Linked DNA regions of Oryzias latipes. The protein of the gene in region 2 purifies or fractionates together with the protein of the main gene of each other region. This does not show direct contact. Links are inferred from orthologs where the notes say so. Each region holds a gene or a part of one and is shown on either strand. Other genes may lie near its edges.

The links.
Region 1: the proteins of rbm8a (region 2) and regulator of nonsense transcripts 3A purify together in Homo sapiens (co-immunoprecipitation; 4 studies listed by BioGRID and IntAct, with this or other methods). This does not show direct contact. The link is inferred for Oryzias latipes from reciprocal best matches to the Homo sapiens genes RBM8A and UPF3A.
Region 3: the proteins of rbm8a (region 2) and ncbp3 purify together in Homo sapiens (co-immunoprecipitation; 3 studies listed by BioGRID and IntAct, with this or other methods). This does not show direct contact. The link is inferred for Oryzias latipes from reciprocal best matches to the Homo sapiens genes RBM8A and NCBP3.

What each region holds. Positions count from the first base shown.
Region 1 is NC_019879.2:7,277,960-7,282,107, reverse strand, and holds the start of regulator of nonsense transcripts 3A, read left to right. Parts: upstream 1-1,348; 5' UTR 1,349-1,397; coding exon 1,398-1,535; intron 1,536-3,125; coding exon 3,126-3,232; intron 3,233-3,332; coding exon 3,333-3,439; intron 3,440-3,591; coding exon 3,592-3,690; intron 3,691-4,148. UniProt on the Homo sapiens protein: Involved in nonsense-mediated decay (NMD) of mRNAs containing premature stop codons by associating with the nuclear exon junction complex (EJC) and serving as link between the EJC core and NMD machinery.
Region 2 is NC_019874.2:29,126,616-29,130,849, reverse strand, and holds the start of rbm8a (RNA-binding protein 8A), read right to left. Parts: upstream 2,801-4,234; 5' UTR 2,793-2,800; coding exon 2,732-2,792; coding exon of another isoform or gene 2,726-2,731; intron 2,212-2,725; coding exon 2,152-2,211; intron 2,073-2,151; coding exon 1,995-2,072; intron 1,429-1,994; coding exon 1,292-1,428; intron 1-1,291.
Region 3 is NC_019872.2:24,107,090-24,111,237, forward strand, and holds the start of ncbp3 (nuclear cap-binding protein subunit 3), read left to right. Parts: upstream 1-1,348; 5' UTR 1,349-1,489; coding exon 1,490-1,669; intron 1,670-2,482; coding exon 2,483-2,548; intron 2,549-2,888; coding exon 2,889-2,994; intron 2,995-3,067; coding exon 3,068-3,193; intron 3,194-3,271; coding exon 3,272-3,391; intron 3,392-3,468; coding exon 3,469-3,593; intron 3,594-4,112; coding exon 4,113-4,148. UniProt on the Homo sapiens protein: Associates with NCBP1/CBP80 to form an alternative cap-binding complex (CBC) which plays a key role in mRNA export. NCBP3 serves as adapter protein linking the capped RNAs (m7GpppG-capped RNA) to NCBP1/CBP80.

The DNA of each region.
Region 1 (4,148 bases), on a different chromosome or scaffold from region 2:
AATGCAAATTTGTGTTCAGAACACCAAATTGTGGCCATAAAATGCTAATATTTGTGCACTTACTACTAATTTGTGGCATCAGAGTGCTTATTGGTGTGCACAAAATACCAAATTGTGGCCACAAAATGTAAATTTGTGTGCAAAACACTAAATTGTGGCCATAAAATGCAAATTTGTGTGCACAAAATACTAAATTGTGTCCGCAAATGCAAATTCGTGTGCATTCATTCATCTTCCATTTTGACCCTTTCGGGGTCACAGGGCTCCCGGAGCCTATCCCGCCAACTTGTGGGTGAAGGCAGGGGACCCCCTGGACAGCTCGCCAGTCTGTCGCAATTTGTGTGCAAAAAAATCCAAAATTGTGGTCATAAAATGCTCATTTGTGTGCACAAAATACCAAATTGTGGCCATAAAATGCAAATTTGTGTGCACAAAATACTAAATTGTGTCCGCAGAATCCATGTACCCTTTCGGGGTCACAGGGCTGCCTTAGCAATTTGTGGGAACCATTGAGCTTTTTGTGCGCTCAAATTAACTCCTGAGACTGAGGCTAACTTCTTGTCTGTTTAGAAGAGTCCTCTGTCTTCCATGTGAGGGGAGGAGAGACTTCTGCTTGAAGGGGCAACATCCCACCATCCTTTCCTGACTGTCTTTCCACCACTAGATCTAAGAGTGTTTGTTTCTGGAGGAGGGATGGGTTGTACTCCGTCCAAGTCCACAGGTATTTGCACTAATGAGCGGGTCTGCAGGGATCTGGACACCTGCTCCACGCTCCTCTCCAGCAGCCTGAGGAGCTCCGTTTCCACACCGGAGAGACCCCGAGTGCGCGCCGAGAACAGCAGCGGGAAGCAGGCGTTTTTAAATGGTGAGACTGATAAAAAATAATTAAAAAAAATTGTCAAATAAATGTTTTCGTCAAAACAAAAATATCTCTACCAGTTTGTAATCAATATTCCTGTCCCATATGAAACTTTAACAAATATGTGGTTTCTCCATTTTGGTTCTGTTTTCTCTAGTTCCCTCTCGAGATGTTCAGGGGTTGTCAGTGATTCGGTCCTCCAGCTTTGAGGGAAGCGCAGTTTCCAGTAATCCGATCACAAGCGATGGCGAACGGATCGCGTAGATCATCATCCCAGCTGCGCGGTAAGAAGAGGGAGCATATGGAGATGAACAGCGTTTATGTCAAAATATGTATTGAATTATTGTTTGCCTTTTTCTTCTACTCGTTACAAAATAAGTGTTAATGAAGGTCACACATAACATCATTATGTAACTAAAGTACTCAAATATATGTTTTCATTAAACATAACACCCGCATCCAACATCGATCTACGCGTACTCTCGCGATAACTTTCGTGAGTTATCGCGAGCACACAGCTCGTAGGAGATGTAGAGAAATGAGGTCTGAAAAGGACCAAATGGCCGTGGACACGGAGAAAAGTGTCGAAATACAATTTAAGGACATTCCAAGAGAGCAGGAGAGCCCAGGTTGCCATCTCAAACAAAAAGAAGAGAAGAAGGAGGTCTTTTCAAAGGTGAGTGAAGCAGCGTTTTGGTACGCGCCGTATTGTTTACTCTTGATGAAGACAACAGACATGGAGGAAGTGGCTGATCATTTCAGCACCGAGGACAGCGAAAAAGACTGTAAATGCACGATTTTCAATCATTTCCACTATGTTTAGCAAATATTTCATCTTTACCTCACAACAATGTCACATTATGTGGCTCCATATCTTTTAAAAATGAAAGACGGAACAAACAGTGGGAGTCAGCAGCCTTTAATACCAAAAGAGCCATTTGGGCTTTTTCTCACGGATTACCTAAAGTCTTTTTTACCCTTTCACATATTTTGACACTGCTCTGCATTCGTATCGTTGTTACTGTTGAAATATGTTGAAATTGTATTTATCCACTTATTTATTTGGCTTGACTAAAATTAAAAGCTGTCAGAGAAAAATTATTGGAAAAAAATGAAATTGTTTTTTTGTTTTTATTTTGATGAAGAATTGCATGTCTTTCTTTTAAATAAAATATATTCTAATAGGGTCATTCCTGTGTCGCTAGTACACTCCTATCAAATTTTAAAACAATGAGTCAATAAAGGCATTTTCTCTTGTTATAACCTAGGTCTTCCTTGGTGGGCACCTTTTCCCTATAACTCCTATTACTGCTGCTGACATATATATATATATATGTGTGTGTGTGTGTGTGTGTATGTGTGTGTGCGTGCGTGAACATGACTTTATTATTTTATGATGCAATAGACAAAATATAGAATCACAGGTACTGGACCTGTGATTTTATAAAACCTAACAAATTTAAATAAATCAAACAGACAAACCCTCACTTTAGGATGTAATTACTATCATTTTATTTGTCTTTAGCCAGCGAGCTACTATGAAAGGTAAAAGACCCACATGTGGGTCTGGAGCTTTAAGTTGCAGACCCCTATTTTAACTATTTCATAATGCTTTCTGAACCCATGTCAATAAATTTAACCTGCTTTGTTTAAAAACAACTGCACTCATTTTTAAGTGGCAGCAGTAATAAAACAGGCCGACGAGGACATGTTTCTATTATTCTTTTGGCACAGTAGACTGTTTTCAGGAATTGAATATTTAAAATGTGGAAACAAACAAGGGTGAGAAATCAGTAAAATAACTTAAAAGATCTTTCCATGTCACTCAAAACATCTTTTTTTTATTTTTTGGTTATTTAATTTTCTGCATATCCTGTTGCACTTCAGGATTTGTTGTCTGTTGACTGTTGCCCATTTTGATGCTGTTATATAGTAGGATAAACATATTTTGAAAACTAGCCAAATACATTTTTAAAAGTATCATACAGAAATACTTTTGTTGTAGCTTTAACTACATTTAAAATAATTGTGTATTCCATGTCATATCCTGCATCTTTCTTTTACAGGTTCCAGTATTTAGTTTTATTAGTCTGCTTAAATGAGTCGGTAATGATTTGAAAAAAATGTTTGAACTTGTCAAGCTTTTGGTCAGGACTGATAGTTTTTTTTTTTTTTTTAAATAAAGTTAATTCTGAAAGTTTGTGGAGAGACTTTACACTCATTGAGAACAGCAGTTAATAACCTTGGAGTAACTGGTTGTACACAGGTTGTGATCAGAAGACTGCCACCTAACCTTTCAAAAGAACAGCTTGAAGAACAACTAAGTCCGCTCCCATCGTATGATTACTTTGAGTTCTTCTCAGCAGATCAAAGGTGTGTTGTGATTTATTACTTGTTTGAAAAACTACTCATTTTTTCAATAAATATGTTTTATATTCTTAATTTTATTTTTTTCCTTCTTTTTTTATTGCAGTCTGTATCCCCACCTTTTTTCAAGAGCATATATCAATTTTAAAAACACTGAGGATATCGTGTTGTTCAGGGATCGATTTGACGGCTACGTCTTTATCGACAACAAAGGTATTGGTTCAAATTTCTTTGACTTTGTTTATAATAACTACAAATAACAAAACACAAACTGTAATATTCTCTGTAGGCACATTTATGGCCTTTAAGTTAAACTATTAACTTGATTATCTGCTAAATAACAAATTAAAAAAAAAAATTTTTAGGTCAAGAATATCCTGCAGTGGTGGAGTTTGCCCCCTTTCAGAAGATTTCCAAGAAAAAACTGAAAAAGAAGGATGCCAAAACTGGAAGCATTGAAGAAGGTACTAAAATGTTCTTGTGAATTTAGCTATTTCTAATATGTTCTTGCTAATTGCTGCATATAAATACGTCTGTGTGAGTTTTTTATATTTAAGACAAATATATTGTTGCTAAAGTAAGAAATCTAAAATGTGAATGTTTTTCTTTAAAAAAAATGTAAACTAAGAGCAATATATATTTGTTTTTGAGTGATGGAAGACCAAAAAGTACAAATTTTGCTCAAGTATGTCCGTCTTTCAGTCTCACCTTCCATTGTTGAAAATTCCTTTCTGATGCAGATATGCATCTAAAATACATTTCCTGATTTATGAGTTTAGTAAATCCATCATCCAAATGAAGCATTGTTGCCAGGTCTCTTTAGCTAGCATGTTTTTCCCCACAATGCGAGTTTTCACACTCCAAGAAAACACATAGTCTCCAGGAAAAAAAAAAAAAACTGTAGTACACATCAGAAATAAAA
Region 2 (4,234 bases):
ACAGGTTTAATGTTCGATCTAATGTCAAGACAAGATGTGTTTCAGTTCTTGACGTGAAATAATGGAAGGAATTGAGCGATGAATTAAAATGACGTAATTCTCAGTTAAAAGAAAAAAAGTCTAAAACATATTAAAGGTTACAAAACACAGATGTAGAAGGACTTTGTTTACTTGTCTCCATTTATTAAGGACTGTTTCCTACTTTTTGGTTTGTTAAACTGATTAACTTGGACATTGAAGGACAGGCATATAATAAGCTTCATATGCTTCTGCCTATTTTTTTAATTAATTGTTTATACTGTATGTTAGGTAAACAATGCAAATGACAAACTAAACTAAACCAATAAAACCAAAGCAGACATTTCTAAATACTCCAGTGGAAAAGCCGGGTCTGTTCGGATGAACACAGAACTGATATCCTGCTAACGGAAAACATTTTTTTAGCCCAATTAGGTGAAATGGAATTTTTTTCCAGTTATAAACTGGTTGAAAAACACTGCACCAAAAGAGAAAAACATATTTTTTTTGAGTGAAAATACAGTGACAGTCAGGCTTTAAGTATCCTCAGACTCGTTTTAAAACTGAAAAACAACCCTTTGAAATCTGACAATTATTATAATACAGTTCTGATCACAAAGTGCAGATGTCAGACGGTTTCCTCCTTCACTGAGCAGACCGTGAAGTAACAAACTGCAGAAAGGTCAACCCTCTTCTTCTCACGGCCCCCCAAATGCTTTTCTCATCCATTTTTGTGTCGTGCAGTTAGACCAGAATTATGCCAAAGCTTTTATTTTGGTGGAAAAGTCAAAGACTCAACACTGAGCATTTTAGCCTTTAGTGGCGGCCAAACACCAATAAGACGGAAAGAAAATCCCTCAGTAATAATAAAGCCGAAATAGTTTGTTTTTCATACGACTGTTCTTAAATATCAGCTTCACTTCACAGAAACTAAAGTGCTGCTACAAAAGGGCAGTCCAGGCTCTCTCTTAACCCCTTCACGCAACTGTTCTGAGAACACAACAGCCTTATTTTAGCAACCAACTTTCTTTTCTACAAGTATTATAAAATATATGATTAAATCCTACTGAATGAAATCTTCCACATCATTAATATGATGACTTCCATCCTTCCCTCTGATAATTACTGCCTAAATGCTTGTTTTTAATGTTGATCAAATATTCACTTCTTCCGCTTAGATGTTCATTGGAACATAAGCAACATTTGACATCCAAATGTTGTGTCTTTAAAATACAAAATGTGTTCAAAGAAAAAGGAAATGGTTTAAACTCACCTTCAGATAGCCAGTTCTGCGATCCAGATTAAGATGGAGGTTCTTGATTTCCCCAAACTCTGAGAACTTATCGTGGATGTCTTCCTCTGTGGCCTCCTCGTGCACGCCCGTCACAAACAGGATCCAGCCTTCTACAGCTGCAGAGAGGGGAGGGAACAGGGCATCAGACACCCAAACCCCCCAGTCTCCACACCAAGACAAGCAGATGAGTTTACCTGACCTGCTGGCATTCACGCAGTTTCAAAAGTAAAAGTCTGCATTGTTTCAGAGCAGTTTTTTAGTTTTTGCATAGGTCAAAATTAAAACGCAGCCGTGAAACTGATTTATAACTTTTAAACAATGAACTTTAGGTTAAATTAAATTAGTTATCTGCAGCTGTGATGCAGAGGTAGACCTTCAATCAAAAGTTCAGTTCCTGCCTTGCCTGCCCATGTGTGGACGTGTCTTTTGGGCAAGACACTTAAACCCCACAACGCTCGTGGGGGTTACAGGCTGTGACTGTGCATGGGACTGGGACTTTCAAGCCCTTAGTGGCTTAGTAAAGGTAGAAAAGCACAACATTGACCATTTATTCTATAATCAAATTAAATAAATAAAATAAAAAAAAATACACACAAAGATCTTAGATTTTTTACAATCTAAGTGTGACTACAGCTTGTTAATTTGCTTCTATCTGAACATGAAGGTCACTTGTAACACCTACATCTCTGAGGCCCAGGCTCATCTCCGTCCTGTTCCACAGTATCATAGTCCTCTTTGGCTCTGGACCGGGCCCCATCATCTGGAATCAAAAACTTAGAATCAAAACCAAACCCTAAGAAGTCAAGAAAAATAAAGGGAAAAATGCTTTGAAAGCTCACCTGCACCAAAACCTCGTCCTTTCCTCTTCTTGGCTTTCTCCTTTAACTTGTGGATGCTTTCTGCAAACAGACGAATAAAAGCCTAAGGACGCCGTTTTCAGTTTCCTTTAATTCACAAGAGTTTAGTTTATGAAGTTCTCAAATGGAGTAACTATATGTGTTTTTGGGTTGTTTTTTTAGGAACAATGTGCAATTTTTAAATCGACGTTTTTTCTCTCATCTGCGCAACACTAACAGCATGTAGCCGTTGGCTAACATGGATGCTAGCGCTAGCTTAATAGAAAACAAAACAGCTTTAACGTGCAGAGAAAAATACAGTCCGTTTAAATAATTAACATTTTAAAAGCGGCCCTCGCAAACACAGACGGCTGCACCCCCGCTGAGAGGCTCGCTAAGTGGATGAATGACCGCCTTTCGTTGAGTTAGCTGGATGCTAACACGGCTGCGGCCCGCTAACAAACACGCAGTCTGGGCTGAGCGTGATTCTGACCGCACGTGCGGCTATTTGAATTTCATTATTTGGCTGGCAGGACTGCGGTGCGTCCGCCTCTAATTGTGTAAAACAACGCAATACCGTCACCATCCTCATCCATAGGAAAGTCTTCTCCTCCCGCCTCATGAAGGTCCAACACGTCCGCCATGATGTCTGTTTGACTGAGTACGAACAGCGCATGCGCACGGAGAATCACTAAAGAGTCTGAGTACGTAACTTCCGTAAAGATTTTTTTTTAAACTTTATTGTACAAAACGTAAGTAAGTTTAATACAAAACACAATTTTGCTAAGTAAACTTCAGATATGCCAGGGTAGCATACATATTACAGGAGTTTTAGATAAAAAAAAACATTCAGATTTCAACAACTTTCATACAAACATGCAGCTTTCTGATTAAGACTTTTGGAGATGTTACTGAGATACATTTAAATTTGTTTGATTAATAACACAGGGAAAAAATAGGAGATGAAGAAAATTTGCATTTATTAATATAAAATTAGTCAAATATAATAATAAGATTAATAATGAGTTTTTATTTGAAAATGAAATTTTTGTTATTAATTTTTAGTGCAGAGTTTTATTATAATATTCATGATTAATATCACATGTGTTACTGGTAAAAATGCATAATATTAAACGATAATTTATGTTTTAATAATCATGATTTCTAATTTATCCCTTATGAAATAATTTACATTTATCATCATGAAAACTTTTTATTTTTGCAAAGCATTTTAACTGAAACTGCTTTCATTGGGCTTGAGATGATTGTTTTACGTGGTTTGTGCTTTTTATCTTTTATGTTTTTATATGTATATATATATATATATATATATATATATATATATATATATATTTTAACCTGTGATCTTTGTCTGTGAAAGGTGCTATGCAAATAAAATTTACTTACTTACTCAATCATGATATTAATAAATAATCATGATTTTTTATACTTTAGTGTGGACAATTTAATGCAATATAATTAATGATATATTTGTTATTAATAGCATTGTTAAAATTTCCATGCCATATATTTTCAAGAATTGAAAATTGTTGTTATCTTGGTATTATATTTAGTGTCATCACTGATATAATGAGAACAATGAGAAATGTATACATTTGTTTTAAACATTAGTGTCAACATTCACACAACAAAAATATGATTTAAAATACTTTATTATACTGCAAGGGATAGCATTTCTATTATTAAAATTGTGACTATACTTGTTATTAATATTAGAGTTGCAATTTCTATCATAATTATTATTAGTACATTCTGTGTTAATATTGATGTCAAGGTTTTAGAATCAGAATCATCTTTATTACTAATAAGAGCATGACTGCACATGTAAGGCATTTGACTGTAGTGTTGTCTGCAAACTTCAAGAGTTTCACAGAAGTTTATATTTGTGATTGATACAATATTTGTGATTTACACGACTGTTTACATATTTATTAGATTAATCATTACTTAATTAATTGTAATATTATTTTCATTGCTACAGTCAGAACTTCAGCTTTCTGGGTGAAATAGTTTTTACCATCATCTATTTTTTTATCAGGAGGAGGAATGATTAAAAAAAAAAAAA
Region 3 (4,148 bases), on a different chromosome or scaffold from region 2:
ATGTGAGGTGTTTTCTGTTCATGTGGTGCACAAAGGAAATAAATTATTTCCTCACAAACATGGAAGACATTCTTTCTCCCCGACAAGTGTCGGATCTGTGGGACATTTTGAGAAGAACTCATTGAATTTCTATTCCGTTTTTCCCTTTCGGGGTCACGGGGCTGCCGGAGCCTATCCCGGCCACTTGTGGGCGAAGGCAGGGGACACCCTGGACAGTTCGCCAGTCTGTCGCAGGGTAGAATGTCCACAATCACACACCCATTCACACTCACACTCACACCTATGGACAATTTAGATTAACCAATTAACCTATGAAGCATGTTTTTGGACAGTGGGAGGCAGCCGGAGACCCCGGAGAAAACCCACGCATACACGGGGAGAACATGCAAACTCCACACAGAAATGTCCCCCATTGATGTTCTGTTTCAGGTCCCCCAGCCGGGACCTGAACCGGGGGCCTTCTTGCTGTGAGGCAACCACTGCGCCACTGTGCAGAGAAGAGAAGAACTGCGAAGCAAAAAAAAAAAAAAGGGAAATGTAAAAAACACACATATTTTACCCAGATATAGAAATCCAAAACTCACCATGAACTGATTTACATGTCATGTTAAAGCTAAAAGCTGAACGGAAGTCATTAGTTTGTAGCTAAAAAACTGATGTGGAACAACAGATGTGTCATTTGTTCCTAGTACATACATGTAAATGTCTCGACAGATTTTACGACATACATGGAGGAGAACGCTGAAGAGTCGATGAATAAAGAACATGTTAGTTTAGGAGAGGTGGCTGTCAGTTTATGACTGGACTGTTCATCAAGAGGAATAAAACGGATGAGTCACAGAGAAGTCATGAAACAGAGGAGAGCAAGCCAGACTGAAGTCAGAGCTGAACATTTGTGAACAACACCTTGGTTTCATGCAGAGAGAGACAACCACAGACGATTTGCTCTGGGAAGGAGGTGAATGAAGGTCAGCTGGGGGAAAAACAGAGTATCGTTGGCGTTGCTCACTTCATCAACGACCACCGGGCACGGCGGGTCGTTCTGGAACAGGATCCGGGCTGCAGACAGTCTCTCCTCCAGGCTCTGGTGCTGACTGATGTCATAGTTGTTGGAGGCCCAGCCATCAACTTTGACAAACTGACTTTGAACATTTTCAATTCATAGCAATCTGTTTCTGTAATTTTTCTTTTGTAATACATGTATCTATGTACCATCCCCTGGCATTCTCGTTTTTAATGACTGTTGTTCTTGTTATACATATTTGTTCTATTTGTTTTGAACAATAAAGTTTAAGAAAAAAACTTTGACAAACTGACTGTGACGGAACGGTGCGATAGGGGGCGCCAGACCCCCGACTCGGTTACATTCCCGTCAACGAAGAAGAAGAGCAGGGAACGTCTGCCGGGTCACGGTACCACCGCACCGAACCAGTGCCGGGTCACGGTACCACCGCAGCCTCAGCAGCCCTTGTTCGCAGTAGTTAGCGCCATGGCGGCGGTGCGCAGCCTGCGGGTATCGGTGAAACCAGACAGCGGCTCAGAGCACTCGGAACCGGATTCCGAGTCGGACCGAGATGACGCTCGCGAAGCCGAACCGATGGAGGTGGAGGAGGGCGAGGTGGATGCAGAGGATATCTCCGTTAACCGCTCTCTGAAGGAGCTTCTGCCGGTAAGACCCCGAACTACTTAGGCCCGCAGAGCCGGGGACTGGAGTTTTGCTTCAACATACAGAGTCGGCATGCGATTATTACCCGAAGCTCCGTCTAGTAGTTCCAGGAATTAGTCGGTGACGGGCGCCGCTGTTAATGCTCGCTGCAGCCACGGGGATTTTCTCTTTTCTGGGCCCCTTAGCCAATAGAGAGTTGTTGTGTCGCTCACCTGTTGATCTTTACTTACCTAAGAAACGGCGGTGAGTTTGGAGAATCCGTCTAAAAACGTGCATATATTATAAGCAGAGCTTTCTGCGGGGATTCAGCTAAAATGATCGATTAGCTACTGTCAGTCCATTATAATTATAACCCAGTCTCAGGTCCGGGCCAGCCCATTTATGACCTAGTCTAAGTCTGGGTCATTCCATCATGACCCGGTCTTGAACCAGCTCAGTAGCCTTGGGTTAGTGTCCGCCCTGTGACTGGAAGGTCGTGAGTTCAAATCCAGCCCGAGTCATACCAAAGCCTCTAAAAATGGGACCCAATGCCTCCCTGCTTGACACTCAGCATAGGGGTTAGATTGGGGGAGTTAATGAATAACCCCCTATATGGTGGATTAACTTAATCCACCATAAAGTTCCGTCCGAGCGCGGCTGTGTCCGCAGCTCACCGCTCCCCCAGGGGTGGGGTCAAATGTGGAGAACAAATTTCACATACCTAGTTAGGTGTGTGAAAGTTAACGGTACTTTAAGTTGTACTTTTCTTTAGTCTGGCTCGGCCCATTATGACCCGGTCTGGCAGATGACCTAGTTCTGCCCGCTCTGTCTCTGCAGGACACCAGCCGGCGTTACGAGAACAAGGCCGGAGCGTTTATCACCGGGATTGACGTCAACTCAAAGGTACCGCAGCCTCATCACGCAGCTGCCATGTGATCAGCTCGTTGTTGGTAAAAAGCATTGAAAGCATGAAATAAAGTTCCAGTCCAGGTCCAAAAGTGCAAGGCCTCATGAAAAAGAACCTCACTGAATCACCCACCTGGGTGCCGACCTCTCCAAGCCTGGCTTGGGAACGCCTCGTCTCTCCTCAGACTGCTGCCTCTGCCACCCAGACGATCAGAAGAAAGTAGACGTGTGACCTGCCTTCACCTCCAACCACAAACCATTAACTCTGACGTGAAGGAAGCTGTTACCATGGTAGCCAACTACAAACCGGGGTATGACACAGTTGTTTGTGTTTTAGGAGGCGATTGAGAAGAAGGAGAAGCGAGCGCGACGTTTCCATTTCTGCGGCGAGCAGAGCGTCAGTCAGAAGGCCGTCGTCCTGGACAAGGAAACCATAAAGAAAGGTGGGGGTGGCTCCGGGTTTTGTCGTGTCCCGAGGTGGTGTTGGTGTATTGTTGACGTTGTCGTCTGCTTCAGCCATTCCCCGCCTGCGGCTGGAGGCGCTCCACGTCACGGGCGTGGACGACATGAGCACGCAGGACATCTTCGGCTATTTTAAGGAGTATCCTCCCGCCCACATCGAGTGGATTGACGACGCGTCATGTGAGCGCACGAACGTTTGCAGGACGACAGGAAACCCAAAGAGGGTCCTGAGGTTTAACCACCGCTTCCATCCTTCAGGTAACGTGGTCTGGTTGGACGATGACACCTCCATCCGAGCGCTCATCAACACTAGCAGAATGCCCGACCCGGAGGCCGTTACCACGGAGACCGGAGAGCAGCCAGGCAAAGAGAGCAAAGGTCAGCGAGTGGAAACATGCTCTGACTTTCCGAGGCCGCAGTGCAGCCTGGGTAATGGCTCTATCTGCACACAACAGCTCAGCGAGGTCCAGACTCAGAGGATGAGGAAGAGGAGGGTGAGGTGGGCGATGAAGAGGACGGGGCAGCCAGAAGGAGCAGTGAAGTGCAGGAGGAGCAGCAGCCGAAGGAGCGCGGAACACAGGTAGCTGTCACCAACCGCACAAGCTCATTGGTCAGTCAGAGAGTGGGGGGTGGGGGGTCTAAAGCTGCGTTCACACTGAACGGGAGTGAAGCGTCAGAAAGATTCTGGCGAGCGGTGAATATTCTGGCTGAACTTTGGTCACGAATTCGCGTCACGTCAACCAATCAGGGAGTCAGCTTTAGCCCAGGATGCTTTGATGACGTGATCAGCATCTGGAGGCCAAAACCAACATGGAGGACAATCTGACCGCTCTCCTCCTTAACTTTATGATTTTTCTTTTTTCCATAGAGACAAAAATAAAAAAAAATTCTGGGATTTTCCAAACCTTTAGCCCCTCCCACACACAGCAGGAGCGTCAGGTTTACGACAAGCTTCCAGGAGCAAATTTAGCGCGTGTCAAAACGGAGGAAACAAATTCGCCAGGAGAATTGAGTTTGCAGTAAACTCAGCAAGAGGCTGGAGTCAGGAGGAGCTGTTGACACGTTTATGTGTGTGTTTATGTGTGTGTGCACGACTCAGGTGGACGACCTGTCGCGGGCGGAGAGAGAGTCGCTG